Linked DNA regions of Diceros bicornis minor. The protein of the gene in region 1 interacts with the protein of each later gene in a pairwise test. Links are inferred from orthologs where the notes say so. Each region holds a gene or a part of one and is shown in the gene's direction. Other genes may lie near its edges.

What was found.
Region 2: the proteins of FNDC11 (region 1) and GPBP1 interact in binary tests that used the Homo sapiens proteins (3 or more experiments, as listed by UniProt). The link is inferred for Diceros bicornis minor from reciprocal best matches to the Homo sapiens genes FNDC11 and GPBP1.

The regions. Positions count from the first base shown.
Region 1 is NC_080758.1:640,521-655,983, reverse strand, and holds FNDC11 (fibronectin type III domain-containing protein 11), read left to right. Parts: upstream 1-7,491; 5' UTR 7,492-7,524; coding exon 7,525-8,526; downstream 8,527-15,463. Other genes in the region: HELZ2 (helicase with zinc finger domain 2), read right to left, coding at 11,626-11,750, 11,949-12,116, 12,211-12,367, 12,506-12,724, 12,898-13,032, 13,196-13,388, 13,461-13,577, 13,686-13,833 and 3 more.
Region 2 is NC_080759.1:18,845,634-18,862,127, reverse strand, and holds the start of GPBP1 (vasculin), read left to right. Parts: upstream 1-8,114; 5' UTR 8,115-8,334; intron 8,335-8,365; exon of another isoform or gene 8,366-8,624; intron 8,625-9,871; 5' UTR 9,872-10,828; exon of another isoform or gene 10,829-10,842; intron 10,843-16,494. UniProt on the Homo sapiens protein: Functions as a GC-rich promoter-specific transactivating transcription factor.

The DNA.
Region 1 (15,463 bases):
GTGGGTGGGACCCCAGACCAGGCAGCCTGCAGTCTCTTTCTCCCCCAACTGGCCTCCCCCAGCCCAGCCCCCTTAGCACCTTTATTGAGCCCACATCCTTTCAGGACAGCCGCAAACCTCCTTCCAGACCCCACACTGGCTCAACGCCCGAATATTCGGGTTCTGTGGTTCAACAGGCCCGACCAACAGGTGTGCTGACTGTCCACTGGCGGGAAGCCACACGCCCATCCACCTGCCCTAGAGCTGCAGCAGGTCACTTCTCTGAAACGCACCCCGGGGCTTCCTGGGGCACACACCTGCGTACACTGCCCGTACGATTTACAAACTGTAATGTGGCAACGATACACATCGGGTGTCTTTTGGAGGAACACAGGGAGCTGCGCAGCTCTCTGGGGCCCCCATAGCCTGGAGGGAGCAGGGCCCCCAGGGGGCAGGCTGCATGGAATTGAGACTCACCCTGTTGGGAGGCAGTATTGCGCAGAAGATATTTATAAATACATGAGGGGAGGCCCTGGAAGGGCCCTGAGGCTTCCACACCACCTCCTGCTCCTCCCGTGTGTGTAAGTCTGGGCTTTTGCACACCAGTTTCCTTACATCCTCAAAACCTACGCAGCTTCTCCTAGGAAGCAGGCTAGGCATCTCCGACCCACACGGCCACAAAGAGGCCTCCTTGGGGTGTGGCAGGGTCCCACTTGTGTGGACCACCCTCAGGGCCAAGCACTCAGAGCACTGGACGCAGGTTCCTCCTGGACACTCTTGGTCCCTCAAAGCCACAGGGTCTCGGTCTCTGGGACTCAGCACATTCCCTCTGGCAGTCAGGGCAGGCAGGGAGGGACCCTCCTCGGTCCCCCGGACTGGCCCCCAGGCCTCCTGTCAGCCTAAAGAAAAGCCCAGAGAGTGAATCAGTGGACAGAGCACAGAGGGCTGCCCACCCTGCCACTGCTACAGACAAAGACCCCGGCCAGGCGGGGTCTTCCTCCTCCTCCAGATGAGGAAACAGAGTTCTGTCTATCGCTCCTCGCGGTCACAGCAGGGACATTTTCTAGCAGGAACCTGTGCTGGGCAGTGGGGACCCAGCTCACAAAGAACGCCTGGCCCATCTCCGGGTGACCAGGACAGAGAGTCCAAAGAAGGCCCCAGAGGGAGAGATGCTCCTCCTCATCTGCCCAGTGCAGAAGGCTCTGCAGGGAGCACCCCACACTCGGCCACCGCCCTGCCTGGGCCCTCCTCTGTCCCCCTCCACCCCACAAACCCCCAGGTCACCTCTCCTCATTCAACTTTCCCCTGTTGTCCTTGCACCGCACACACCTGGTGTTGGTTACTGGGGGCGGCAAGAGCTGGTTTTGTCCCTCCAGTCGTCGGCTCTCTGAGTCCTCGGCCCCTGCAGGCCCAGCTGCCTGCACTGTGATTCATGTTTCCTTGACCTGCAGGATCTGGCCCACACTGTCCCCTTCTTCACCTCATCCACCTGACACACCAGCTTCCAGCCACGTGACTCTTGCCCCGCCCCCAGGACAGCCCCTCCTCTGACTTTGCCACTCACCCCTATTAGCCTCACCTCCTCCATGGGCCCTAGGCACTGAGTCCATGCTGGAGGGGGTGGGGGTGAGGGGAAATGTTCCAGGGTGTGTGAGTGAGGGGGAGGACCCCCGGAGAAGGACAGCTCTGGATGGGGTCTGTCCACTTAAAAAGCAAATTTGCCTGTTATTTTATCTCAGAATGTGTTTATTCAGAAATAGGCAAAAGAATTGCAATTCAGGATGCCCACGATACAGTGAACCATAAGCAAATCCCCAAAAGAAAAGAGGGAGCTGCTTTTATAGAGAAAGGGGGGGGGGCTGTTCTGAAGGAAAGTCCATTGGGAGAGAGTGACAGATCAGGGCAGCAATGGCTTCTCATTGGCTGAGCTGCAGCCTGCCTGATGGGCTGGGCTGCAGCCTGTCTGATTGGCTGAGCTCCAGCATGTCTGATTGGCTGAGCTGCGGCGTTTCTCATTGGCTGAGCTGCGTTGTGTCTGATTGGCTGGGCTGTTGCTGGGTGGGGAGAGAAATCTTCCTTCCAGTAAAGTAGTTGTACTTCCTGTTGGAGATCAAGTCTGTCTCCTGTTTGGAGTAATTGAGGACAAGAGAGGGGTGAGAGCTCCCCCTGCAGGCCTCCCCCACTCCGACTTAGCCCAGGTTTCTTTCTTAACTTCCACAGGTCAGATGACGGAGTTGGACTCCTGCTCTCAGGCTCACTGGCCATATGCCCTCGGGAAGGTGCTGACCGCATCTGCCTGGATCCCCCGGCTGTAAGAGCACTGAGCCTGCAGGGGCACAGTGAGGCTTTGGGCCAGGTCGCCTGGGCCAAGGAGGCGGCTTCCCAGGCATTCAGGCTGAGGCTGGCAGCCCGGCACCACCACCCCTGGGGTCATGTGTCTGGAGGGCACAGTTTGGGGGCTCCATGGTCGTGGGGCACCCCCTCCCCCACGGCTGTGACCTCACGACCAGCAGGCTCACCAGCCTCAGGGCGCAGCACCGCTGGGCCCACTAAGGGACAGCACAGCCTGGTGGCTGCAGACAGGATCGGACAAGACAGAAAACAGAACGTCTCGGCGATGTTAGCACTAAGTCGGGAAGGCCTGTAGCGGAGCTCTCACACTGCGGTCAACTGCCCCAAACAGTGGGGCGTCAATTACAGACCCGGACAGGAAGAGAGACCTTGTACTTGCAAACGGGAAGCGCTTGCAGGGGGAAAAAGCTCTCCTTCTTGCCCAGCAACAAGTGTGGCCAATAGGAAATGCTGCAGCTCAGCCAATCAGACATGCCGCAGCTCAGCCAATGGGAAATGCCGCAGCTCAGCCAATCAGACACGCCGCAGCTCAGCCAGTGGGAAATGCTGCAGCTCAGCCAATCAGACACGCCACAGCTCAGCCAATGGGAAATGCTGCAGCTCAGCCAATGAGAAGCCGCCGGGCTGTCATCACCTGAATTTTTCGTTTCCTCCAGTGAGCTTCCATTTTTTCCTTGCTGCTGACTTCTTTTCCTTGTCCTGCCCTTCTTACTAGAGAAGGCTTCCATGTCGTGTAACCCCTGGAGCATCTCTGCTTGCAAGATGCGATGCCGGCTGATTCATAAAGCCGATTAGATCTTCGAATTTAGTCCATTAATTTTTTTTTTTTCCTGAGGATGATTGGCACAGGGCTAACTTCGGTGCCCATCTTCCTCTACTTTATATGTGGGGCGCCTGCCACAGCATGGCTAGATAAGCAGTGCATAGGTCTACGTCCAGGATCTGAAACTGCAAACCCCAGGCTGCTGAAGCAGAGCGTGCGAACTTAACCACTACGCCACCAGCAGGCCCCATTTGAATTTTCTCTTTTAATAGATGAAAGGAAAGACTAGTGATGCACAGCCTAAGAGCAAAGGAGCCAGTTCCCAAAGGCTGCACCCGTATGGCTCCATTTACACGGGATTCTTAAGAGGGCACCATTACAGAGATGGAGAAGAGATTAGGGCTCGCCAGTGGCTAAGGAGGGGCTGGGGGCGGGAGAGAAGTGGGTGTGGCTAGGAAAGGCAACATAGGGGTCCCATGGGGATGTGTTGAGGTCACTGTCCTGGTGTGATCTTGTCCTCAGTTCTGCAAGGTGTTTCCACTGGAGGAAACTGGGTGACCGGCACATGGCATCTCTGTGTTATTTCTTACAACTGCATGTGAATCTACAGTTATCTCAAAATTACAAGTTTAATTTTAAAAAATTAGCGAGGAATGAGAAATAGGAAAAAAAAAGAGGGTGGGCCCAAAGAGATGGCAGAGGTCCAGGACAGCTTGGATCAGAAGAGGAGGGGAGGGCTGCTCTACCCCACTCCCCCTGTGGGTGGGCTGCAAGGCTGGGGGTTGCCTCCTGCTGCTTTCCATCGTCTCCCCCCTTTCCAGGTGCCAGCCTCCCCCTTCCACCTTCAGATAGCACCCCCCTTTCCAAATAATCCAGCTCTTGTCCCTCAAACCCCTCAATAACAACCCTGACAACAGCCAGCCTTCACTGAGTTATAGCCCCTCAGGGAGAGGAGGGCAGACTGGCCACCGCCAGCTCCCCAGGCCCCGCCTCCAGGGTCCTCCACACCCAGGCCTGGACCTGAGGACAGGCTGATGGATGCCGAATCAGGGGTGGAGTCACCCGGAGGGGCGGGAGTGCAGTGGGGGAGCCTCTGGCCACAGAACAGACTGGGAGGGGAGCTCAGGGACAGACAAGTACACTGGAAGGGGCCCCACCACGACCTCTGAGGGGCGGAGACGAGGGTGGCAAGGAGCGTCCCCAGGTGGAGCAAGGAGTGCCTTGGGCTGTCTGAGACTGACCACTGCCGGTGGGTGTCTTGACATGAGCACAGCCATGTTTGGCCGCTCCATTGACCTACAGCCACCAGCACAAAAAGAAATATAAAAGCTGCTTTCTGCGTGGTGGGAACTGGCCCTTCTCCCACGGAGAGAGTTGCAAGTTGTAACATTTCAAGGCTCTCGGAGCGACGTAGCACGGGATGGACTGGCCATCTGTGCCCGTCTAAGGTGATAACCAAAGAGAACAATGCACGTACACAATTACTGGGCTGGGACGTTAGCCAAGGGGCTCAGTGCACGTACACCACTGATAACCATTTGTGCATGGGAACACTGGATGCTTGCTCTGTAAACTCTGTAACTGCTTATATAAACTGCTGGGACTGAGACCCGGTGAGAGTTCCACCTGTGGAAGGGACGCCCTGCCCAGGACGTGTGATTCCCGCCCAGCCGTGTCGATTGACAGGACTCTCCCGGCAGTGGGGAGTGGATGTTGTGAGTAATTGATTTACTGTGAAGTAATTGATCTGATGTGTTCTCTTTTCGGTCAACCTGGTGTTTCTCTTTCCAGTCGATTTGTGTCATTTCCCTTCAGTGGATCTGGTGTTTCCCTTTCCGATGGATCTGATGTTTTTCCCTCTTATTATATGACCTATTCAGATCTGCTGCTGTCTCAGCCGATGTGGATGTTTTCCCTTTCCAGTCGAGCTGGTGTCTTTTCCCTCTTATTATTTGACCTATTCGGATCTGTTTGCGGACTATCGCCTTTACTATCCTCTATATAATAAAATGTACCTTCAGTCCATTTGTTTGGAGTGGAAAGTTTCTCTACGTCTCCGATCGAATCCCCGAACCTCTCATAACAGTGGGACACCCCAGACTGGTAGAGAGCGCCCAGATGTCCCAGCTGGGGGTTACCATTGGGCCTCAAGGGGCTGAGTTACCATTGGGCCTCAAGGGGCTGAGAACTCCTCCGAGGGGCTCCCTGGAGCTGTGGAGACCCCACTGGTCCAGACCCAGATTAGTGGCCTCCGCCTGGGCAGAGGAAGCCTGCGGGGGCAGAGGAGGCCACTCCTCTCCCTGCTCTGCCGTCCGCTGGGGCGACGAGCCGCACCCACCTGCCAGTTCTCGCAGTCACAGCCTCTCTCCCCGGGTCCTCCGTGGGGTTCCCGGGGCGGCGCTCGGGCGGAGGTTGGAGCAGGAGCCCCTTCCCGGTAACCGAGCCCATAAGTCCCCGCCGAGGGAGCGCTGTGGCCACAGAACGACCCCGGGACAGGGTCCCCCGCGCAGAGGGCGGCGGCCTGTCTACGCCTCTCGGCGGAACCCTACTTCGAGCCTGGCTTTCGGACCCGCCACCTGCGGTGGTTCCCAGGTCAGGGCGCGGGGCGAAGCCTCCAGACGGTTCCGTCCAAGCTGAGCCTGGGGTCCGGGGTCCGGGGCCGAGGACTCGGCTGAGACGAGCGGTTCCTTCCGGCGGGGTCCTGGAACCGGAGAGCGCGCCCACGCCGCCTTCCCACAACCCCTCCAGTCGAGGGGGTCCGACGGGCGGGGTCTCCCCACACCCCCACCCCCGGGCCCCGCAGGGCGTCACAAAGGCCCGCGGTCCCCGTGGCAACCCGCTGGAGGTCGCGGCGCGAGCCTGGGCGCCCGCGGCTCTGCGCACAGTGGCCGCACGGCTCCGCCCGCTCCGCGAGGCAAGGCAAGCGCGCGCGGCAGGCCGGGCGCGGGCCCGGGGAGGCGGGCGGGGAAGGGGGCGGGTCTCAGGGAGGTGGGCCTGGGGGTGAGGGGAAGGCCTGGGCGGGGCTAGGGGGTGTAGGTCTGGGTAGGGCCGCCAGGGAGCGGAGCGGCCCCTTCCCCGGAGTTCACGACCAGCCCCTCTGCGGTTTTCCAACTTGGGAGACTGTTGGCGGCTGGAAACATCCCTGACCCGTGGCCAGCCCCAGGAGCAAGAGTTCCCTCCGGAGGCGGTTTGAATCTGCCCCCGCCTCCGGCCAGAGCAGGACTTAGGCTAGGAGTCCTGGGGTCCTGGTCTCTGCTTGTGCCTCACCCCAGATATCCTCTCTGCTGTGCCAGGGGCTGGTCTGGCTCCTCTGCGCCAGGAAGGTCAGAGGCTGGCCTTTGGGGAGGGAGGCAGACTTGGGTCCCAACCTTACTCTGCCACGTGGCAGTGCAGCCTTGGGCAAGTCACTCAAGCTCTCAGCTGTCATCTGTCATTCATCCAGCCCTTGGGTTGCTGGGGATGTCCCACCAGCACCAGGGTCTGTCCCACCTCCTTCTGGGTGGCTGAGACCTGGGACAGCAGCCAGGGATGATGGCCCCTTCTCCAAGGAGCCCCAGCTTCCAGGGCCAGGCCTTGTGGCCTGCCTCTGCTGGGCTTGGGACCACAGCTGGGGTGCACTAGCCCGCTCCCACTGACACGCAGAGCTGGGAACCCCTGGTTGGGAGGTGGGGTGCAGGAGAGTCAGGCTCTGGGGTTGATGGCTGGGCTCAAACCCTGGATTAAGAGCAAGCTGCCAAGCGTTGTAGCCCGGCGCCCATCTGTGACGCGGAGTGACAGAATCTTACCACTTCATGAGGATTTTCTTGTGGACTCAGTGAGCTCATCAAGGCCCTTGAGGCCCCCAGCACACAGCAGGGGCTCAGTCACTAGGAGCTGGCATGATTATTCCTCAGAGCTGAGGCCTGGGGCCACCCTGCCTTCTGCTCTGGCCCAGGCCACCAACTGGCCTTGTCTTTGGGTGAGCCCTGCCCTCTGCTTTGCACCTGCGGTGGGGCGTGGAGGGTCCCCCCCAAGGGGACTAGTGCTGCTCAGCAGGGTCACACTGAATCCTCTCAACAGCCCCAAGGGAATATGGTCACCCCATTTCAGACGAGGAACTGAGGTCTTGCCGGGCCACCCAGCTGGTCAGTGGCTGGGGTTTCTGCCCAGGCCATTCTGGTCCCAGAGCCACTGTCTCAGCCCTGCCTGTGTCATCACAAGCAGCAGTCAGTAGAGTGTTTGCCCTTCAGTGTCCACTCTGTCCAGATCTGCAGCCCCTTCCCAGAGAGAGGTGCACCCCCCACAAGCTCCTCCTCGCCCAGGGAGGACAGAGGGCCCTGTGTTGGGGCAGTCACCCCCACACAAACACTGCTCCACGTGAGTCCTGGGAGGGTGCCGAGGCCGGCCTGACTGTTGCAGCTCACGCCGTGCCCTCCGCCCCGCCCCAGACGATGAGCTCCCAGGTGACGGGCCTGGGCCTCGACAGGATGAAGCTGGACAGTCCGCAGTCCCCCCTGGACCAAGAGGAGGCGGAGGAGGCTGAGGACGGGCAGCTGCTGGACCCGCAGGCGTGGAGGACCTACGTGGAACGCCGCAACGCGCTGCGGGAGTTCCTGAGCTCGGACCTGAGCCCCCACCTGCTCCGGCGCCACCATGCCCGCGTGGAGCTGCTCAGGAAGTGCTCCTACTACGTCGAGATCCTCCCCAAGCAGCTGGCCCTGGGCGACCAGAACCCGCTGGTGCTGCCCAGCGCCATGTTCCAGCTCATCGACCCCTGGAAGTTCCAGCGCATGAAGAAGGTGGGCACCGCCCAGACCAAGATCCAGCTCCTGCTGCTGGGGCACCTGCTGGAGCAGCTGGACTGCGGCCGCGCCGAGCTGGACGCCCTGCTCGAGTCGCCCGACCCGCAGCCCTTCCTGACAGGCTGGGGACTGGTGGAGCGGCGACTGGCAGAGCTGTCGGCCGTCATGGACAGCTTCCTGGCCATGATGGTGCCCGGGTGCCTGCACCTCAAGCACCGTCTGGTGTCCGACATTGGCGCCACCAAGATCCCGCACATCCGCCTCATGCTGAGCACCAAGATGCCCGTCATGTTCGACCGCAAGGAGTCGGTGGCCTACCAGGACTGGGTCAGCTTGCGCTGGTTTGTCACCATCCAGCCTGCGGCGCCAGAGCAGTTTGAGCTGCGCTTCAAGCTGCTGGATCCGCGGACGCAGCAGGAGTGCACGCAGTGTGGCCTCATCCCCGTGGCTGCCTGCACCTTCGACATCCGCAACCTGCTGCCCAACCGCGCCTACAAGTTCACGGTCAAGAGAGCAGAGAGCTACACGCTGGTGTACGAGCCCTGGCGGGACAGCCTCACCCTGCAGACCCGGCCGGGGCCCACCAAGGGGCCCACCCCAAGTCGGCTGGGCAGGCCAGGCCCACCCCCGACCACACCTTCCGAGAGATGATTTCCTGCTATTTATCCACTAATACAGAGGAGTATAAACTCACATACACAATTTGAGAAATGAACCTACTTACGTCTTAAAGGTGGCAACAGCCACATGAGTGTTTTCCTGACTCAGCCCAGCGCCACCCCCCACTGGCACTGGTGACCAGCTCCCCGTCCACCACCACACGCACCCCATGGTGGTCACTAGGACCGCCGGCCCTCTGAGAAGATAAGGCATGGCAGGGCAGGGTGATCTGGAGCCGGGAGAACTGATGGAGAAGTGGCCTGGTGAGAGAGGGGTCCCCAACTCTGTCAGAAAGGCCCAGCCCCTCCCCCAGCTAGGGACAGTGTGCTCTGCAGGGTTGGGGTGGGCTCAGCCTGGGTAGGGGCTCCCCTCCCAGGCCTCTCCCACCGCTGACCCACTGTGTGCTCCTGCGTGCCATCCAGGGGTGAGGCCAGACTGTGTCACACACTCTGTGGCACCATGTGGCTGAGCCTGCCTCCTGGATGTCTGGCAGGATGGAGCCCTCCCAGGGGTCCCAGGCAGAGTCATCACCTTCTTAGGGAACGACTAGAGGAGTGGGGTGTGGTGCAGAGCAGAGAGGGCTGTGGAGGGGATGGGCGGGAGCTGCCAGGGGATCCAGGATCGGGGTTTGTGCTGGGTCATACAGATCCCACCCACAGAGGACAGCATGGAGTGCGGGTTCACCAAGGGAGGCACATGTGGGTGCACGGGCTGGGGGACTTCTTCCCTCCTTGCTCCTCCCGCCCCCAGCCTGGCCTCGCGCCCCTACTCGGAGGACAACTGCCCAGAGACCGGCCTCGCGGCGGCACCGCTGCAGCTCCCCGGCTGTGAGCCACTCCGCGGCGCCCTCCCGGTGCGGCCCTTGAGGCGGGGGCGCAGATTTGGTCCCGCCCCTCACCCGCCGCAGCTCACCTGCCGCGCCCCGCCCCTCGCACACGGACTGACTTAAAATTGCGACCCTCATTGCGACGAGGCCTAGCCCTCTGCCAGCGGCCCGCCTCGTGCCACTTCTGCGCGCAGCTGTGCGACCGCAGTCCAGCCCGGCTTCCCGCCGCCGCCGCGCGTCCTCAGGGCTTCAACGCCCCTTCCTCCGGAAGTCCTTCCTGACTAGGCTGATGAGGTCCCGGCTCCCTGCCTCCGGGCGCCTGCTAGTCTTCTATTCAAGCGCTTTTCGCCAGATATGGTAAAATTTCTCCACGCTTTCGTGGCTGCCCTAGAATAGACGTGCTCTCCCAGGTGCTGCGCACGCGGGGTGCACAGGCCCCTTTCCTTACAACTTCTGTCTGTCTCTCTGTGAGCTCCCAACCCACCTGACACCTGTGCTGGCACTTAGGGAGGCCAGGGGCCTGCCGTGCCTCCCTCTGGACAGCTGGTGCTGTTGGAGGCTCTGGAGAACCAGCCACAAACAGGCTGAATTCTGACTAGCCCAGGTCGGCCTGGAGGGCTGTGTGCTGCGCAAGGGTCCTGGGGAGTAATTTCAGAGCAGAGACCTCGCAGGATGCTGTCAAGGCCTCAGCCTGGAGACTTTGGAGCCTGAGGTCAGAGTTCAGTGGGCTGAGTGGCCTGCAGCACCTGGGCACAGCTCACCCACTGTGGACCTTCCTTGCCAAGTTGCCCCCAACCCCCAGCTTCCTTTATCTGGGCACAGACAACCCTCGGCCTGTTGGCTGTGTCGTCAGCTGTAAAATGGATGACGCGGGCCCCTCTCCACGTGCTCCCTCGTCCAGCATCCAGCTACGATGGGCTCTGGGCTCTTGGCTCTTGATAGCCTCAACAGCCACTTTGCAACCCAAAGCAAGAGGAGGGACCACCCCTTTTTGCAATCCAGTCAGACCTCAAAACACCCAGAAGTGAGAAAAGCATTCAGAGTGGTCTTTATAATAAAATTAATATTCGATCATATAACATAGTCCAAGAAAAGATACAAAAATTGGAATGTAGAAATTTGATTTGTAGAAAACATCAGAATCAGACAGATACATAGACACCCCCTCACCCCTCACAGAGGGGGCCACAGGTGGGGCAAGCCCCTCCTGGCGTTAACGACTTCTTTGCAGCAACTCAAAGCCACAAGGACAGTGGAATGGCACTGAGTCAAGGGCTCTGTTTTCCAGAGTCAGAGCTGCCTCAGGGTAGGTGGGGTGGGGACAGACATCGAGGGGACAGGTTTCCAGAGACGGTAGGACACAAATGCGCCCTGAGGGGCAGGTGAAGGTCCTCAACCCTGCAAAGAAAGACACGCCTGGGCAGGGTGTTCCAAAGGCCCTGACCTGGGAGCAGGCCTGAGTGAACAAGGCAGATGCAGAGCTCAGGGTGGAAGCACAGACGCCGTCCAGGGGCCCCCACCCACACGCCCGCAGGAGTACTGCACCACCCAGCACGTTCCGGAGGGGCAGGTCCAGGCAAGGCTGGTGGGCCTCTGCTTCGGGTCTGCCCTTCCCCTGCCGGGGCAGTGGTCCCTGAAGGACACAGGCTGTGGGTCCCAGTTAGACGGGGCAGTGGTGACAGAGAAAAGGCTCTCTCCCAGGGAGGCCTCTTTGCCCTGAGTTTGGGCTGAGGACCTTGTTCCAGTAAAAAAGACACTGGTTTTTGGTTTATTTAAAAATAGAAAATAAAGCTGAATTCCTGACCAAACCCACTGCAGTTGGGGATGGTATGCAAAGACCAACGAGTAGCCCCAAGGGGATTTCCTTCCTGACCCCAAACCTTCCCAGGGAAGGTGTTGTGCTGGTCCAGAGGATGCCCCCACCCCTAAAATGCTCCCTGTCACCAAGTGTCCCAGCAAAATCAGCTCAGCAGGGAGCGTGGGGTCTCCTCCAAGGTTATGTACAACGGCAGGGTGCTGCCTGGCCTGCTCCCCCCTGGGGAGAAGCCAGGACTCAGGAACTTGGTTATTGTGCACCACCACGGCCGGCCGCCGAGACCCCTGCCCAGGCAGCCAGGCGCAGGTGGCCAGATGGTGGCTGGCAGTGACCACTAAGGCACATGGGATTCCGCTGAGTGGGGCCCACCAGGCTGGCCAGCCCAGGAGGGCCTGGGGCGTTTCTTCACAATCCTGGCAGCTTGAGGGCAGCAGGCAGGTAGGGATCTTCAGAAGGACATGGCTGGTCTCCTCCGGACCCGCACCTGGCCGGCGGGCACAAGGCTCTGCTGGGCCTCACAGAAGTCCAGGAGTCGACGCCAGAGAGGGCAGCACTGCAGAAGGAGGTGGTCTCCTGCCAGGGGCAGGAGTCAGTGGTCGCCTACAGCCCTCGCCCACCAAGAAGCCCCGCCCCCAGGGAGGAGCCCACCCCAGCCCTCCCCTACCAGGCAGCCCCGCCCCCAGGAAGGAGCCCACCCCAGCCCTCCCCTACCAGGCAGCCCCGCCCCTAGGGAGGAGCCCACCCCAGCCCTCGCCCACCAGGAAGCCTCACCGATGATGCAGAGGCCCTCCTGGGCCCGGGTGATGGCTACATTCACTTGGTTGGGGTCCACCACGAAGCCCAGGAACTTCTTAAGCCAGCCCTTAGTCGGCCGCTGGTCCAGGTCACTCTCTGGGCACGTGCGGACGGTGCTCACCAGCACATAGCGCCACTCGCTCCCTGGGGGGCCGGGCAGGCATGGTGACGCCCCTGCCCGCTGTGCTCACCATGCCCCCTGCCCACCGGCCCACGTGCCCCCTGTCCCCAGCCTCACCCTGGCTCTTGGTGATGGAGCACACGGTCACTCCCGTGATGCCCTCTTGCACGAGGCTCTTGCTGATCTCTGTGGCCTGTGCATTGTAGGGCGTGAGGATGGCGATGTCCTTGGGTTCCACTGTCCTGCCCAAGGTCAGCTGTTTGGCGATGCGAACCTGAGGGACCGAGGGGGTGCAGCTGAAACCAGGTCCCTGGGCACCAGGGCCTCACCTGTTCCCTCGTCTCCTCTGCCTCCTCCCCCAGGAAGCCCTCCTTGACCAAAAGGCACCAGAGAGCGCCTTGCTAACACTCACCACCTCTGCCACCTCCTCCTGGTTGGCCTTGGAGTTCTCATTCCCTTCGTCCGTGGACACCAGCAGGCTCTGCTCATGGCCCTGCATGTGGCCAAAGATGACAGAGCAGCTCTCCTTGCCGGCATGGCCCAGGATGCTGGGCGACCTCCTCAGGCCCTGCCAGGTCTTCAGCTTGCTCTTGTAGAACTCCATGGAGGGGAAGGTACAGATGTCCTTGTGCTGCAGGACAGGGACATGAGCGGGGGCAGGCCACCCACCCACGCGCCCTCGGGCCAAGAGCTCCCACTGGCAGCTGCTCTGGCCCCAGGACAAGGCCCGGGTGGACGTAGGAGGTAGGGGAGTGGGCCACAGACCACACCTTGGCCGAAGGAGCTGAGGCCGGGACTGCTTACCATGCGGTACTGCGTATCCAGCATGTAGGCATCTCTGTGGTACCTCTCGAAGAGAGACCGGTCCAGACCCAGGTTCTGCAGCTGCTCATTCTTGACCACAGGCCGCAGCTGTTTATGGTCCCCAAGAAGAACCACCTGGGGGGACAGGCCAGCGTGGTCCTGCTACCCTCAGACCAGGGGCACCCAGCCCCGCCATCGTCACTGCCCCGCCACAACGCTGCCCTCCATGCACTCCCAGGGGGAGGCCACACCCAGTGACCCCCGCCCAGGTCACCAGCTCACCACCCGCCTCGCTCACCTTCTCAGCCGTCAAGAAGTTCACCAGGGGGATGAGGGTCTCGGGCTCTGTGGCCATGCCCGCCTCGTCCACGAGGATCTGCCGGACGTCCAGGCTCTTGAGGGCGACCGAAGCTGCACAGGAGCACGTGCACAGGATGACCCTGTGCCGGTCCAGCTCGAACCTCCTCGCCTTGCCCAGGACCCTCCTGTACCTGTGTGGGGATGCCGTCTGGTCACCCAAGGACCCCTCGCCAGGAGACAGCTCCACGGCCCCAGCCCCTTACCAACTGAGGTCGTCCTTGGAGAACAGTTCCCCTTTCTGCAGCCGGGCGTCGAACGCCTTGAGGTCTGGGGCATAGGGGTTGGAAGGCTGCCGGATCCGGTGGTGCAGGGTGATGCTCCTGGGGGGGACACCTCCATGAAGCCCTGTGTTGTCCCAAGGCAGGACCATCAGGCCCCTCCTCTCCACCCAAACACAGACAGACAGACAGTGAAGAGGAGAGACACACCTGAGAGTCTGGTTCGGCCTCCCCTCCCGAGGGGTATTCTTAGGTGGACCCCTGCTGCCCACACCCGGCACTGGGAACTCGGTGGCCTCGGCCTGCTCGCCGTACACGCGAAGGGGCTGCAGCTCTTCTTTCCTGCTCAGGAGCATCCCTGGGGGCAGTTGGGGCGTGAGTGACTGTCCCCTGGGCCCACCAGCCCCAGGCAGAGCCTCGAGTGGCCGGCCAAGCACACCTGCCAGGACGTCCACCGACTTGTTGGAGGGGCCGCAGTACAGGATGCAGGGGCCCCCCAGCCGCTTCTCCCCACCACAGGCTGGCGCCTGCTCCTCATTTGCCTTGTGAAGCCAGAACACAATGTGGAGAGCCACCACCGTCTTCCCCGTGCCTGCGGGCAGAGAATGGGGTGAACGGAGCCCCGCCCACCTGCCCCGGCAGCATGCATCTCCCCCAACGTGGGCCCACCTGGTGGGCCCTGGATGACTGTGAACTGCTTCTTCAGAGCCTCCCTGACGGCCCCATTCTGGCTGGGGTTCAGCTTGTGGCGGCTTCCGGGGATGTCGAAGGTCTGCCGCTCCAGGAACCGGTGGGGGGTCCCTGAGGAAGGGGCCAGGCCTCCCTGAGCACCAGTGCAGGGCGGGGCTGGGGCAGGATGAAGGCGGGGGGGGGAGCGGGAGGGCCCCCACCTACCTCTTCTGAGGGGCTGCTGGCAAGGAGGGGGGCGGGGCAGGGGGATGGGCTGGCCTAGGGCGATGCTGATGGCCAGCGGGGACGCGTCCTTCAGCTCACGCACAGCTTCTTCCTTGCGGCTGGGGGCAGGGGAGGTGAAGACGGACACTGGAATGTCGACAGGACTCTCCCAGGGGAGCAGCCACTGCCCCAAGAGCCACCCCCCAGAAAGGGGCCCAGGGAGTCCTCACCCCACCCTGCCCACCAGCCTCTCCCTGGCTTTCACCCCGTGGAAGCCACGCACAGGTCAGGAAGCTGCTTGGGCAGCATCTCAATGGTGAATCGGGTGCCAGGCCTCAGCACCTCTTCTGGAACCTTCTCCATGGCTGTGTGGTGGATGAAGAAGTGCACCTGCTTGGGGGCCTCCTGGCGGTCTGCCTTGCCCTCCTTTGGGTCCCAGTCCTCTGTCAGCCCGTGGGCCACCCAGGTGTAGGTGTCAGGGTCGATGCTCAGGAGGGGGCCGAGGTTGCTGGGCCCACAGGGTGGGGTGGCCGGGGGAGGCTGGCCAGGGCTGGCCGAGGGCTGCAGGCCCCCTGCGTTGGGCACGGCCGGCAGCCCCTCGAGCCGGATGCAGAGGTAGCAGTGGCTGAGGCTGATGTCGATGCAGTGCTCCCGGAGGAAGGCGGCCTCCAGGCGGAAGGTGCCCTGCAGCTGCCCCTGCGGTGTCCGCTCCTCGGCCCAGGATACGCCCACGTGCTGCAGCGTGATGGAGTCGTTCTCGGCAACCGCGCTGGTGGCCGACTCCAGGGAGCAGAACGGCTCCCACACGCGGGAGTACTCGTCCACGTCATGGCACCGGTCCCGCCCTGCCTGGGGCACGTGGCCCGAGAAGCAGTCGCCTGGCCGCTCCGCGTGCTCTAGGCAGAGGCTGAGGCCAGGCGCCACCGTCCACAGCTGCAGAGCTGGTGCCAGCAGCCCTCGCTGCAGGGTGGCGCCGAGCTGCACCTGCAGCGTGTCCCCGCTGGTCAGCTCCCGGGCCACCTCCACGAAGTGGCCGCAGCGGCTCCGCCACACCCGCCCCAGCTCCCGTGGCCGGGGCTCTGCAGCACCCCGCG
Region 2 (16,494 bases), on another chromosome or scaffold:
CTAAGCCACAGGGCCAGCCCTCGACAGATATTAATATTGAGTGGTTACCACTACTATGCCCTGTTCTAGACATTGGAGGATACAGCAGTGAACAAAATAGATATTATGTCAGCTTCATCCCTTAGGCTGTAAGAATCTGGAAGCCGGATTGTGTCTTAATCATTTCTGTCTCCTCAACAGATAGCACAGCAACAGCGCCTAATAGAAAATAAATCTGAATTGCACTGAGCTAGGATTCAAGCCCAGGTCCATCTAACTCCAAAGCCCATGTTCCTTCTACTACTATGTGGAATCTAGATTAATCTGAGTCTATTAAAGTAATAACAGTAACACTGTTAAGAAAAATGGCAACATGGCTCACATCTAACTAGGACCTGGTTCATCATAGGTGCTCAATGTTATTTTGCCAAATCTTCCTTTTATTTATTTATTTTTATTTTATTTTATTTTTTTGAGGAAGATTGGCCCTGCACTTACAACTGCTGCCAGTCTTCCTCTTTTTCTTTTTTCTTCCCAAAGCCCCAGTATATAGTTGTGTATCATGGTTGTAGAGTTGTAGCTGTTCTATGTGGGACGCCACCTTAGCATGGCTTGATGAGTGGTGAGTAGGTCCATGCCCACGATCCGAACCAGTGAACCCCGGGCTGCCAAAGCAGAGTGCGCGAACTTAACCACTATGCCACTGGGCCGGCTTTGCCAGATCTTCCTTTTAAACTACCATCCTTGGCTCAATGATTTACCCACTGGCATATTACCATAATTTTTCACCACTTCCCTCTCCTTCCTTTCCAAACACACAAAACTCAGAAACATTCATTACCATATGGTTTATGGGAGGAAAAATTAGATAAAACCTAACCATCTTTCCATCAGACGCTGGTTAAATGAGATAAGGTAAATTCTTCCAATGGATTATTATGCAATTCTTAAAAATAACAAGTTATCACTAAGTGTACTGACATGGAAAGATGTCCATATATTACTAAGTTGAAAAAATAAATTTCATAATAGTATCTATAGACCAATTTTATTAAAATATATGTGTGTGTGTGACACATGTATGCATAGGAAAAAATCTAGAAGTATCACAACAAACTGTTCACAAAAGCTTAACTCTGGAGGTATAGTAGTACTTTAATTTATATACTTTTGTATTGCTTGAGCTTTTTTATAACAAGCTTGTATTATTTTCAAAATAAAAAGGAAGAAAAAGGTGGAAATATAATCCAAGATGTTCTCATAACATAAACCATTACCATTTTAATTCCTATGAATTTTAACAAAAGCTGTTTTAGTTAGAGCTTTAGTTTAGTGGGAACACAGCTTCTAGTCTCAGTAAAGTAGAAGTGATCTATGATTACTCTAATTCTGAAACTTAAAGGCTTAATATTAGGTATCAAAATGAGAAATCTTCAGTTTTACATCCACATCTGATAAACTTTGATTGGCTTTTGGTCATGCCATTTAGTTTCTGTCTGTATTCCTATATGCTCATTAAACAATTAGGCTCAGTGTGATGAGAGGCATTAATGCATTTAAGTAGAATGGTTTGGGAGAGTTGCTACTCAGTTGCACAGGAAAGCTACTGATTCAATCAAGTTTCTAGAGTAAATGATAGATTTCCTTTCATAAAATGGGTATTGAGATGCAAAAGTGAAGGATGCTATCCCAAATTGAACTTGGAAACCTAAGAGGATAAATACTAGGGAAATCCCACCACAGAGTATATTCCTAAGCAGTGTCCCACATGTTTATTGGACTGAGAATCAAGAGGTAGCAAAGTAGCCCAGCTCTGGACTCCATTTCTCCCTCACATTACCCAGTCTGTAACAAGGTGAAGGGGGCAATTACATCTCCAAGGTTCCTTGTAGTCTTTTTTTCAGAGATGATAGAAGACTCAATATCTTGAAATAGACCACAAATCTTTTTAAAACACTACAAAATGTATTCTTCACTTTATCCACAACAATTTACATATTTATACGCCTGCTGTAGGCTTAAAATTATAAATGCCATGCAACAAGGGGCTGTGTTTTGGAAGTCACATATTGGAGAGAACATTTAAAAGTTTTTGTCGGTAATTGTGCTCCTGCTAATGGTGTTCCTCTATACCTCCTTGTACAGCGGAAGGGGCAGAGAGGTGGAGGTGCCAGTCAGGGAAACTGAGCCACTCATAACTGGAGCCAGGGGGAATATTTGTCATCCCACCTATCTGTTTTGATTAAAAAGCTGTCAATTTTCTGGGTCCTGCCCCGTGGCGTAGCGGTTAAGTGCGTGCGCTCCACTGCTGATGGCCTGGGTTCAGATCCTGGGCGCACAACGATGCACCGCTTGTCAGGCCATGCTGTGGCGGCGTCCCACATAAAGTAGAGGAAGATTGGCACAGACGTTAGCTGAGGGCCAGTCTTCCTCAGCAAAAAGAGGAGGATTGGCATGGATGTTAGCTCAGGGCTGATTTTCCTCACACACACACAAACAGTGGTCAATTTTCTAGTAATTAGTTCTAGGTACAATTTAAAAACTCATCCAAAGGGAGAAAATGCTTGGTAAATTTAAATTTATAATCATGGATTAAACTGAGCAAACTTTAATAGGATCAAGAACTTTCTCTAGTGGAAAGCAGGTTAGAAAAGTGGCTTAAAAATACTAACCATCCTTATTGTGTTAAAGAGATCATAGGATTAGTATAAAATGTTTTAAATTAAGAAATCAGATGTTATGTTAACCTTAAAATGGAACACAGACAAAATGAACAATTTTAAAAATATGGGGAATTTTAGAACATATGAAATAAAAAATGGATACAAAGCTCTATACACTATGACACAAAGATATAACATGCAAAGAATACTTGAGAAGAATACATTAACATTTAAGAGCGACTATTTCTGGGTGGTGGATTATAGATAATTTTCATTTGTTTATACTCTTCTGTATCTGTCAAGCTTTCTGCAAGTATATACTACTTTTATACTTAAAAAATTGAAATTAGGGGCAGGCCTGGTGGTATAGCAGTTAAGTTCACGCACTCCGCTTTGGTGGTATAGCAGTTAAGTTCACGCACTCCGCTTTGGCGGCCTGGGGTTCGCAGGTTCTGATCCTGGGCGTGGACCGATGCACTGCTTGTCAAACCATGCTGAGGCAGTGTCGCACATAAAGTAGAGGAAGATGGGCACGGATGTTAGCCCAGGGCCAATCTTCCTCAGCAAAAAGAGGAGGATTGGCAAGGGATGTTAGCTCAGGGCTAAACTTCCTCACCAAAAAAAAAAAAAAAATGAAATTAATGAATGCCAAATTTATTGATCAAATTCATCATTAGGTGCCATCATGATTAAGGATGACACAGATCTTTTCAGTTAAAATTATACTCTATCATTTTTCATTTGTTATATAACATTTTTTTATTAAAAAAAAAGTTTACTTCTTGTAGAGCAGGGTTGTTCCTGAAACATTTTTCTTCAAAATGTTTTTATTTTCATTAGCCAGTCCTTCATTCATCCAGGTAGTATTTATGGAGTGCCTACTCTGTGCCCAGCATTGTGCCAGGTGCTGGGGACACAGCAGTGAACAAAACGGGCATGGGCTCTCCCCTGACAAAACCCACTGAAGAGAGGGACTTGCTAAATGGATCAGCACAAAACTGTGAGACTTGGCAGGAAGAAAGAGGAGCATGCAAACATTTTTGATTATACCGAGGAGAAAGCCTGTGTGAGCTTCTGATTTTCTCCAAGTGACATATCTGAGCCTCAACTCAGATTGTCTGTGAACCTCCAGAGTGCAACAGCAGGACCACAAGTGGCAGTGAATAGAGAACGAGAGGACCTCTGCACCTGCCAGTCCTCAGAGAGTGGTCAGGCTGTGCTGGCGCACGGGAACAGGAGCTGAGTGGGCTCTGGATGCTTCAGTCATCCATCCATCCAGTCATACTTATTGAGCATCTTCAACGAGCTGAGCATTGTTTTAGGGGCAGGAGATGAATAGAACAGTGTCTCTGACCAGGGTCTCATCGTCTAGAAAGGGGGACACCAAGGAGAATAGTGATAAAAGTGAGTGTAAATCCATGAGTCCAGAGAAGGAATTTCGGAGCTTTACCTGATCATTGTTTACCTGAGTGTTATTTCAACAGAGTCTCTAGGGATAAGAAACAAGAATTTGCAAAGTAGAGAGTGAGGAGAAGAAAGGCAATCTAGCTCAAGGGAATAATATTTGCACAGATTGTTAAAGAACAAGGGAAATTCTGAGAACTGCAGGTAGCGTGTGGCTAAAACAAAGACTAAAGGTGGAGTCATGCATTTAACAAATAACCGTGGCTGAAACTGTACTAGCTGCTATGAATAAATATGAATAAGACATAGTCGATGTTTTCAAGGAAATTTGAGTCCAGTGGTAGAGACAAGTAAAAAAATTGGCAATTATGATCTAGTGTAATAAGTGTAGGAGGAATCATAAGGAAGGTCTTGGGTACCTTTCCAGGACCAAGGTAGAGGCAGAAATGGGTAGATAATTAATCATAGAGGTAAACACAGGGTTGTACAATGGGAACACAGAAAAGGGACATTGGATGTAGTTTTAAAAGATTCAAGATTTCTTACACAAATACTTTGCTCTTCAATTGTTGCTGATTTTTGGGCAATTTTTTTTTTTTTTTTGTGAGGAAGATCCACCCTGAGCTAACATCTGCCAATCCTCCTCCTTTTGCTGAGGAAGACTGGCCCTGGGCTAACATCCATGCCCATCTTCCTCCACTTTATATGGGACGCCGCCACGGCATGGCTTGCCAAGCGGTGCGTCGGTGCGCGCCCGGGATCCGAACCGGTGAACCCCGGGCCACAGCAGCAGATGTGCGCACTTACCCGCTTGCACCACCAGGCCGGCCCCGGCAATTAAATTTTAAACATTAAATTATTATAAAATAGTATATTCAAATAGTACAGCAGGGAATAAAACAACAAATCCTGATTTCATGAATATTAGTTATTCTTTAGGCATTGTCTATTTCTGTATAAATACACACACTTAAAAAATAAATGATGATGATTCTATGTATATTGTTTTGTCACATACTTTTATCTCTTAACAAAACATATTGAACATCTTTCCATGTCAGTATATATTGGTCTACCTTATTCTTTTTTAATAGCTGTACAGTATTCTGTTATATGGATGTACCTGAATTTTTTAACCAGCACTCGGTTGGTAGACATTTAGGTTATTTGGTTTTCACTATTATAAATAAGTTCGAAATGAACACCTTTGTTTATACATCATTGTATACTTGGGCTAACATTATTTTGGAGCAAGTTACTTAATCTCTTTGTGGTTAATACCTATAAAATCATTGAGAGAATTATCAAACTTTAATTAAAACTTCTTGTATAGAGCCTGACTAAAAAAATGTTCTCTTAAACTACTGTAATGTGATGTTCATTAATAAATTAAAATAAATCTATTATGTGATAAATTCTTTGTTTAGATTTCACTAAATTAATAAAATAAAATAATGAAAAACATGTTACTGGTTGGAGACAAGTTCTTGTATTTAATTTTTTTTTTTGTGAGGAAGATCAGCCCTGAGCTAACATCCGTGCTAATCCTCCTCTTTTTGCTGAGGAAGACCGGCTCTGAGCCAACATCTATTGCCAATCCTCCTTTTTTTCCCCCAAAGCCCCAGTAGATAGTTGTATGTCATAGTTGCACATCCTTCTAGTTGCTGTATGTGGGACGTGGCCTCAGCATAGCCAGAGAAGTGGTGCGACGGTGTGTGCCCAGGGTACCAACCCAGGCCGCCAGTACCTGTGCGCGCGAACTTAACCGCTAAGCCACAGGGCCGGCTCTGTATTTAATTTTTTAATTAGGTTTTTTTTTAATGATTAGAAAAGTTACCTAGGCCCTTAACAGGTATAAGGAATAAAATAAACATCCTCTATTATTCTGCCACCTAAAAAGAAGCATTGTTAACATTTCTGTGTCTATTCCGTCAGAATTTGTCCTTTGATATATACTTTTTTATTTGACAAAAAGTGGGACATTATACAGACAACTTTGTAACTCACCTCATTTTTCTTAATGGTATGTTGTGAACATCTTTTCATATGATCATTATTTTTACAAAGAAGCCATTTTTAATGGCTTCACATTCCACCTATGGATGTACCATAATTTACTCAATGTCTTTATTTATAGGCATTTAGATTGTTTCCAATTTTTTTGTAGTTATAAGCAATTTATCAATGAATATCTTTATAAATTGTTGGTTACCTTTCCTATTATCTTACTAAAATAAATTCTAAGACATAGAATAGCCAGGCAAAGGGTATCTTATTTTAAGGCTTTTCTAAACAAAAGCCATATTACCTTTCAGAAAGGCTGTACAGATTTTGATTCTTGATATGGCTAATGCAAATGTCTATTCCTTATGCCTTCATCTAGGTTTTATTCTTTCTAAATCTTTGCCAATCTGTTAGGTAAAAAGTGATATCTCACTGTTAGTTTTATTTCCATTTTTTTCTAATTTCTCGTGAGGTAGAACATCTTTTCAAATCATTACTGATACATACATGACTAGCTTGTTCATGCCCTTTGACTTGTTAAGAGTTGGTATGGTTATCTTCTCCTTAAGGATTTGGGAGAGCTCTTGCTACACTTATTATGTAAATCAAACATTATTAGATACTAAGGATAGTAACCGAGCATATATAATTAAATAACCTGTTTGTCATACATTACAATTGTTTCTCCATTTCACTATTTGTTTTTCAACTTTATAAAGTCTTTTGCCATATGAAAGGCACAATTTAAATTATCAATATTTTCAAATTATCAATATTTTCTTTGTTTTTTGAACTGACATCATGTTTAGAAATAGAAGCAGGTCCTGTCCCAATACATAAGTTGCTTATGGATGCAACTTAAGTCTGGTACAGCCGAGTTGTGGCACCCAACTTCCATGTTGTGTAACCTTAAGCATGTTACTTAACCTGAACCAGTTTCCTCATCTGCAAAGCGACATAAATAGCACCCACTTCAGCCGCTGATATAAGGGTTAAATGCCTGACACAGACAAGGCATCCAGCAAGTGTTAATTCCTTTTCTTTGTACTCAGCGAGGCATTATTAACGGCCAAATGTCCATCTTCCCTATGAAGACTAAAATAAAAGACTGGGAGGTGTAATTTTTGGTGCGTTTACATTTAAACATTCTTTCAGGGAGCTTTTAGAAGCAGCTCATTAAACTACAAACCCCATAATGCATATAAAAGAACCATAAAGTTTCTGTGTAGGAAGCCGTTGTCGCTTGGAGGGAGGGCAAAGAGCCAAGTACTTTTTATTCTCTGGATTTTCCCTCCTTAAGACACCCTCCCCCCACATTCCCCCTCAGCACATAAGGTTGCTTTTTTTCTTCCTGGAAGGCTCATTTCCTAGGTTTCAAAGTAAGCCTTCAGTTATAAGGCGAAAAGGTATCGAAATTAGAGAACTGTGACTACCACAAAATTCATTAGAATAAATCTCATGGGCTGTGTAGGACCGAGACACTGTTGAAATAACTCTCACCTATCGTGGATTTAGTAGAAAGAAAAATGATAATTAGCACGACTATATCCAGTAGCCATTTTTACCCTTTGAGAATCTGGGCTTAGTTCCCCATGAGCGAACCTCGCACGCTCAGCCACTGCCTGCCGTATACATTATTTAGGACGGACACAGTCTCGTATTTGCATACGACGGCGGATCCATTGCTTCAGGGCGTCCAATTAGCCCTGCGCCGACACAGCCGTAGCTCCGCCCGCGCACGGCTGTGTACAGCCGAGCATGTGATCTCCCATCCGCCCAGGCCCGAGCGCCCTACGCGGCGAGTGGCGCGCGCCGCGGCCCTTTCCAGCTTCCAGCCGGGGAAGACGCCGCCGCGCGCGCCACTCAGCCCGCGCTGCCGCCTCCAGGAGCAACATTCCCTTCTCGCCCTCCCGGCGGCCCCACCAGCCCAGGTTCCGGGACGGCCCGGCGCGGTGGGGGGGCGGGGGGAGAAGGGGGCTCCTCAGGGAGCAGCGGGGAATTCCCCCTTCCACCGAACGTTCCCGATTGTTCGGCGTCCTCACGTCAGCAGCAGGGGGTAATCCCCGACTCCAGCTGCTCCTGACGTCACCGCGCGGCGCCACCGCCCCCCGCGCGCCCCTGCGTATGGGGCCTCCTCGAAGCCCCGCCCCAAGGCATAGCCACGCCCTCTTCCCTTCCCCCAGACGCCCGACGTAGAGGGCGGAGCTTCCTTGGCCGAGGCGTGAGCGGTTGCTTGGGCCAGAAGGTTCTCTGGTAGAGGCGCTCCTGCTGCCCCGCCCAGTAGGTTCGTTCGCAGCGCTTTTTCCACACCCTTTCTCCCTCCTTCTCGTCGCCCCGCCTTTCCCCTCCCTTCTCCTCAACCCCTCTAGTTCCTTCCCCGCCTCGCCACCTTCCACGATCTCGCGAGACTTGGCTCAGAACATTGCGGATCGGGTCGGCGCCATTTTGGGACTGAGACTGGTTGTGGGGGAGGGAAAAGCGGCAAAAGGGGATTATTCAAAGTACCGAAAACCTCCTCCTGTGATCGAGCGCAGTGGCACCCCCAGGCCAGGGGCACCTCTGGTGTGGCAGAAGGTAACACCGGCCTCTGTGCTCCGCGCCAGAGTCTGGGGGAGGAGGGGGGTGCCCGTGTCGGCGTGGGGGTTTGAGGGGTCGGGAGCGGCGTTGGCGGCGCGAGGTGTGAAGCTGCCTGCGGACCGGGGGGGGGGGGGCGGAGAGCAAGGCGAGAGCTAGAAGGACGGCGCGGGGAGGCCCCTCTGGGTATTGACTCGGCCCCGGTGCAGCGGAGGTGGCGGTTGTGGGGAGGGGGTGCGTGGCTTCGCCTTGGCGGCCGGGGGGAGGTGTTTGGCGGAGGCTGGGAGCGGGTCCGACGCTCTCGGGGCTCGCTCTTCCTTCCTCCGGCCTCTCGCGCACACCCGCCTCCTTTTGCACCACTGCCTCTCAGAGGGCTGAGGGAGTCGAGGCCGAGTTGTGGCCTTCGGTGGTTTCTTGAGCAGCGCGCCCGCTCTCCCCGCCTCTCCCAGGTCCGTGGCACTAGCTGTGGACTGAGTCGAGTGCTACCTTGTCCCTCCGAGCCCTTTGGGGTCTCAGGAGACCCGTTCTGTTTGGGGAGAGAACCCCACTTACGTGGTTTACGCAAGGGCTCTATACCTTCCACCCCCTCAGTGTCGGGAGAAACCTGTTTTCTTGATTCAAGGAAATGGGAACCGACAGCTTTATCCCACTGCTGCCGTCGGAAGCCGGGGAAGTCTCACCCTGTGGTGAATTTAAGGAATGTTCTCGCCCCACTTCTCTTCCCCCTCCTTTTCTACCCTTAGTGGGGAAAATGTGCCTCTTTTACACCTTCTGATTTGGAGAGAGCGTCTTCTCTATATTCCTCGTTCTCTAAGTTGCATATACTAATGCTTAGTGGCACCACACCTGTCTGTTCTTTTTCCTTTGGTACATCGAGTGGAAAATAGAGATCTGTTGTAAGATTGTATGCCAGCTTCATAGTTTTAATATTTATTCAAAAAGTATGGGAAGGTTTGCTTATGTAATCTTCAGTGTTATCTCCGCACCCCCTTCCCAGTTGAAATCAGTATTTGCCCTCCATAACATCATCTCCCACCTTTTTTTCTCTCTGTTCTTAAGTCGTTTTCATACGGTGGACTTTTTTGGGGTGTTTGCTTGGGCATAGCCTTTTTCTAGACCCCAGTAGAATTGTATAGAATTTCTCTCCAGAGGTTGACTCTTTAAGATGGGGTTTAATGTTTAGCTCAAAATTAAAACTCAGTATGTAATTTAAGTTCTTTTTTTTTTTTTTTTTATAACTTTTACAGGTGATTGAATTACTCAGATATGAAGATCATCTTCTAGGTTTTGTGTAAAAGGCCCCGGATATTTCAAGTGGCCATTTTGGAATTACAATGTTTTTGGATAATTTTGCCCCAGAAGTTTATTAAAATTGGCAAGAATCATCTCTGAAGTGAATTGATAGTAGTGAACAATTCTGCAAGCTACTTAAAAAGAGATCCAGGCATTTCTTCAGTATTTTGGTTCAAACGGATTATATAACTGGTTAAAGTGTTTCAGCTGGTGGTATTTTTGCCTTTCCCCCCAACCCTCTCCCCTGTTGTTGGTGTTCTTCAGCCAAAACTGTAAGATATGTTTGATTTGTGTACTGAGTAGTTTCGGCAGTTTCAGATTACTCTTTAAATATTGCTGAAGTTTCATGGCAGTTTATTTTTACCTTTATTAAAAGTTTTAGGAATTTTTGACCTCATCCGTTTTCATGTCACAATGGGACAGCTTTTCTAAATGAAGACATTGAAAGAATAGAGTTTTTTTCCTTTTATCTTTTATTTACGGGGAAATTTAAGATGTTGCAGTTTCCCAGCAGCATGGTAGTATTGAGATAGCTATGTGTCTCTGTATATGCTGATTAGGAATGCTCTTCAGATGTGAAATTTTCTTTTTGTTTTTGCTTTTTGGCTCATAAATTGGATATTTCGTCTGGAGTGGATAAGTACAACAGTGACCAGTACATGGAATAATAAAGAAGACTTTATAATCTTAAATCCAAGGAACTTGGCTAATTCTGGAGATAGCCATATGAAAACTTGAAAACAAGTATGGGTAGCTGACTTGAAGTAACTCTATGTCAAATAGTCATAGGTTAAGTATCTTCAAAGAACTTGGATATTATTTCAGAGGATACAAAATAAAAAAACAAACTGGAAAACGTAAAGATTACGGAGAAAAACCCAACACCTTCCTGTGCAGTCCTGTTGGAATTTGTAAGTACTATATGGTGAGCAAATCAAATGTTCATTTGTAAACTGTAATGAGAGTCAAGTTTATCCTATTTTATTATTGGAAACCTTTCAGTTTCTTGCAGTAATATTGCTTGGTTTCAGTTTCCTGGACAGTCTGAAAACAACTATTAAAGTAAATTGAAATGCAGAAGGAGTTAAGGTTTAAGAATATTTCAGATCAAAGAGTCTGAATTTAAGTGTTTGTGCTTCTGAAGTAAAAAGCAAAATCCATATGGTCGGTGTTCACCTTAGGCTTAATGGGGATTGCTAGAAAGGTAGGAAAAAACCCAACAAATATTTCATGTGTCTCAATAGCCAGTTTATTTGCTAAATGTGAGTTTAGACTGCATTCTAAATGTGGTTTGTGTTCCAATTTAGAGTTAAATATTTGTTTAAAACAAATTATGATACAGGGCTTGATTTTTAATCTGATATTTCATGAAGTAGCTTGTTTTAAGGCATAACTGTTCCTAACATTTTAATCCATTATAGAAATTAAGTTTTTGAAACAATTTGTTGAAGTGGTTTTGCATTTCAAATTATTCCTTAAGATCTCAGTTCAAAAGTCACATCATTACTAGGAACAGAAACTGAGAGGAACCGAGCAAGATGCTTTAAGAACCTTTAAAATAACTTAAAAAATGAGTATAGTTTTTTTCTCTTAGGAAGGTTGTGCTGGCTTAAGTTTATAAAGAAAACTTTTTAAAAAAAATTGTGAATATTGTTGTGATGGAAACCCTTTTGACAAGTGAGAGAATTACATTTTAATAATATTTGTATTTTTCAGGATTGATGGTGTGTTTAATTACCATTAGTTGCTACATTTAGTTTTTCAGTCAATCATAGGCATTCATTAGGAGTGTTTATTTTTAAGAAATTTACTAAAATTTATTTTTTAAGCCATTAATATTAGTGGGCAGATCAATGTAGCTGAAATTAGAGTTTATTTCATTTAATTATCTTTCTGAGATAAAAGATTGTAATTTTTGAACGCTTTGCCAAGATGGCCTAATAACTTGTCAGTGGCTCATTGGCTTCGAAACAGAACTTTTTTTGCTATGCTATTGAATCCTCTTAGCTCACTTAGAGCAGAAGAGGTAGTAGAGTCCAAAAGAATGTAGGTATTTAGATATGCATATATAGCATTTATTTTCTGACCTAAATTGAGATTCGAGTTTAATAGTTTTTTTCTTAGAATAGACTAGGTTATTTGTGTTTTCTCTGTCAGACCTTTGTGTAGTATTTGTAATTGAATTTCCACCTTGATTTATATAAAAATGTGGCGAGAACATTCTCCCTCTCTTTGCTTCTGAGAGCCTGTATTTTTGTGCATTCTTCAATTTAGTGGCTTTTCAAGTTACTCTTCGAGCATTTTCTAAGAATATGCATCTTAAAAGTGACCAAGAAGTTGAAATGAATGACCTTTATTCGTAGAAAAGAACCATGTAACATATTTTATTTGTGATTATTTTCTTTTAAATTGCTTCTGTTGATGTTGTTACCCAAGCAGTAGTATCAGGATAGAGCTTACTCCAGCGACTAGGGATCTTAACAATTAACTTTAATCCTTGAATAGTCTGGCATTTGTGAACTTTGTTTACAGCAATTGTTCAAGGACAAATTTACTTACTTGAACATGTTGATAAATATTTTATTTTATTGGCATTGAAATATATAGTACCAAAAGTAATTGGAACAGTTGCTGGGCTGCTGCTTTTCCCTCCATAAGTACTTCTTTTTCTCCTATCTCCCTTATTCTCATTTTTTTCTTCTTTTTTCCTCCTATGCCTGAACTATAGGTGTAAAAATAATAATCATAATGACTAATATTTATTGATGATGATTGTGTCATGTATTTTGCTGTGTGCTTTACATAGTATATCTCAATTCTTAGAATAATCCTATGAGGAAAGCACTAATAGTTACAGTGGTATAGGTGAGAAAATTTAAGATTTAGGGAGACTGAGACTGGGAGAAAGGTAACTTAGGACCAAGGTTATGTTGGAGTCTTGGCCAAATCTCCAAGTCTGACTTGAGAGCCCCATGCTCTTAATCAATATGCCATACTTAAACTGTCTTCTTGTGGATTATACTTTAACTGATTTATTTTAGAATTATTCTTGATATTTTTCTATTTCTTTTCATGTACTACTTCTCTTTGGTTAATATTGATCATTAGTGGAGTTTGGAGACAAGCTGAAAGACGAGAAACTACTGTCAGTTTTGCTATTTGTTAGTAGCTATTTGAATAACTTTGGTTAGCTAAAAATTAAAATGTGGTTTCAGGTAATACTCAGATCTCATTCACCCACAGCCTCTTTGTATGGGTATGAAGCTAAATGCATGTTAGCTTTGTATTACTTTTTCTCTGTTTTTAAACTGAGATTACTACATGGAATTTTGTGCTTAAAGCTGCTGACACTTTAGAATTGAGGAAGGGAGGAATAATAGGGAAATACAGGAAAGGGAAATAATAGGGAAAGAACAGGAGTGAGCAAAAGAGAAGAAAGTAAAATTTAGAGATTTACAAGAGAAGGGAATAAGGATGGCAACCTCTACTCTGAAAGTAAAGTTAATAAGTGAGGACCGAACCTAAACCCAGGCCAGATTATTTAATTGTCTTTGACCCAATTACCTTTTCTGTTTAATTTTTGATAAGAATGTTTAGATAACAATTTAGGTCCAGGTAAGGGTAGTGATGTAGAAAAAAAATAATGGGAGTTAGGAGATTTTTGGTTTCGAGTTTGGAATATTGGAAAAGAGCCTATGTGGCTTTATAAATTCATCTGACCTCTTTTGACTTTAGTTTCTTCATAAAACTGATGGAAATAATGTGTATGAAGGCTTTTTGTTAATTGTAAAGTATAATATAGATGTGAAGTTTTATTCTAATTACAATTTTCTAAGATTCTGTGTAATACATTTTACGTATCAAACAAATATTTATCATATAGTCTTTGAAATTATTTATTCTATCTCTTGTTTCTGTTAATGGCGTCAGTTGCATCACATTCATGCCCTGTGTTCCCATTTCCAGTTTCATTTATTAATCCTAGCTTGGTCCTTGACTAAGAAGTAACTTACTAACTCATCTCTTTGCCTTCAGTTCCGTTCTCTTCTCCCCATAGTCTCTCCTGTGGCCAGAGAAATCTACCTAAAGTACGGCTCTTGGTTTTGTTACTTAAGCAGCCCTTAGGGTCTTGTATTTGGTATTTTCAGGGAGGGTAGGTTGGAAAGAGATGTGTCGTTCCCCTCCCCCCGCACCCCCTATTTAATGGTTTATACGTTAAGGGGTTCCTAACATGAATTCTTTTTTGGCTGCATAGGTGGGCGTGGGAGACAGTGGTTTGAGAATTTTCCAAAGTTAATAATTTTGGGGATGCTTATATGTATTTTTCTGGGGAGCAGGTCTGTTGCTTTCAACAGGACCCTCACGAGAAACAAAATGTTAGCATTACTGATAAACCTTTTGTGGTTGGGTCTCTTTTTCAGTTTTACCTGCTTGCTTTTTCCCTTTTTGTCAGTTGCTCCACCCAGCAGAATAGTTACAGGCTTTTGCTCTATATCCCTTCAAGTAATTGCTAGTTTCTGCATCTTTCTGTACACGATATCCCACTCAGTTTCTTGTTCTTGAGTCATCTTTCTGTTCACAGTTTGATGAGTGCAATGTTTTTGGTCTTTCATTTTCTGCCCTTTAATTCAGTTTTCAGATTACATTTTTTAAAACCATATTTAAAAGTTTTTTCCATTCATTTTTTTTGTTTTTAGTAAGAACAAGAGTTTTAAAATCTTGGTTAAGTAGGTTGTGTTTCCTTTGCAACTCAGAACTTGTATAAATATATATATATTTTTTTTTTGTGAGGAAGATCAGCCCTGTGCTAACATCTGCCAATCCTCTTCTTTTTTTGCTGAGGAAGACTGGTCCTGGGCTAACATCCGTGCCCATCTTTCTCCACTTTATAAGGGATGCCACCACAGCATGACTTGCAAAGTGGTGCGTCGGTGTGCGCCCAGGATCCGAACTGGCGAACCCCGGGCTGCCGCAGCAGAGTGCGCACACTGTACCACTTGCGCCGCTGGGCTGGCCCCTGTAAATATATTTTTAAAAACTCTTAAACTGAAAAATTGTCAAGAATAGTTATCTTTATCTTTACATATGCGTACTAGTAAAAGACGTTAGTTTGGTTTTCAGTGAACGTAAATATACTTTTAATGACTTTTTAACAAAGTAATAAATATTTATTATCTCACATGGTTTCTGTGGGTCAGAAATTTGGGAGCAGTTTAGCTGAGTGGTTCTGGCTCCTTCCAGGTCTTTCTTAAAATTTCAGTTAAGGTGTTGACCAGGGCTGCAGTCGTTTGAAGACTGGAAGGCTGGAAGATCTCCTTCCAAGATGGTATTGGGCTTGCAGGTTGATGCTGGCTGTCGTCTGGGGGACTCAGTTCCTTACCATATGTGGACCACTCCATGGAGGTGCTGCTTGAATTTCTTTGCAACATGGCAGCTGCATCTGCCAGAGCAAGTGATCTGAGAAGAGAGAGGTAGAAGTGTAGTGCCTTTTATGACCTTTTTCAGAAATCAGTTCTGCCACATTCTTTTCTTAGAATTCTAGCCTGCAGTCAAGGGGAGAGGTGTTAGGCTCCCCCTTTTGTCAAAAGAATTTGTGGACATATTTAAAAACCGCAGTAGGAGGTAATCCTTCGCAATCAGTAGTCGTCAACATAATTAGCCAAAGTCTTCACCCCAGAAATAGGAGGTTGGGCTATTATAATTTTAGAGAAGAGAGTATTTCTAAATTTATATGAATTTAGGAGATTTAAATCTTTTTACTTTTCTAGCCCTTATGAGATAGGAAGGTAAGGTTTTTTTTTTTTTTTCCCCTTTTGCATTAATCTCCCAATCAGCGTAATGAGGGAGCTCTTTTTTTAATTGTGGTAAAATGAACATAAAACTTATTATTTTAGCCATTTTTGAGTGTACAGTTGAGTGGCATTGAGTAAATTCACCTTGTTGTGCAACCATCACCACCATCCATCTCCGGAACTTTTTTTATCTTCCCAAGCTGAATCTCCGTGTAACCATTAAACATTAACTCCCCATTTTGTCCTCTCCCCATCCCCTGGCAATCACCATTCTACTTTCTATTTCTGTGAATTTGACTACCCTAGGTACCTCATATAAGTGAAATCGTGCAGTATTTGTCCTTTTGTGACTGGCTATTACCAAAAACACAGAGAATAGCAAGTGTTGGAAAGAATGTGGAGAAATTGGACTCCTTGTGTGCTGCATTTTATTTTATCACTGTATTTTATCACTGCATATGCATTTTACTTAGCATAATGATAAATATTGGTTATTAAAATCCACTCATGATAAGTGTTGATATCCACAACATGTGAAGAACTATGACTCAACAACAAAAACAGTCTGAGTAAAAAATGGGCAAAGGACTTAAATAGACATTTATCTATTATGCATATTTATCACTGCATATGCATTTTACTTAGCATAATGTCCTTGAGGTTTACCAAGTTGTAGCATGTGTCAGAATCAGCATTTCCTTCTTTTTAAGACAGAATAATATTCCATTGTATATACCACATTTTGCTTATCCATTTATCCCTTGATGGACATTGGGTTGCTTCCA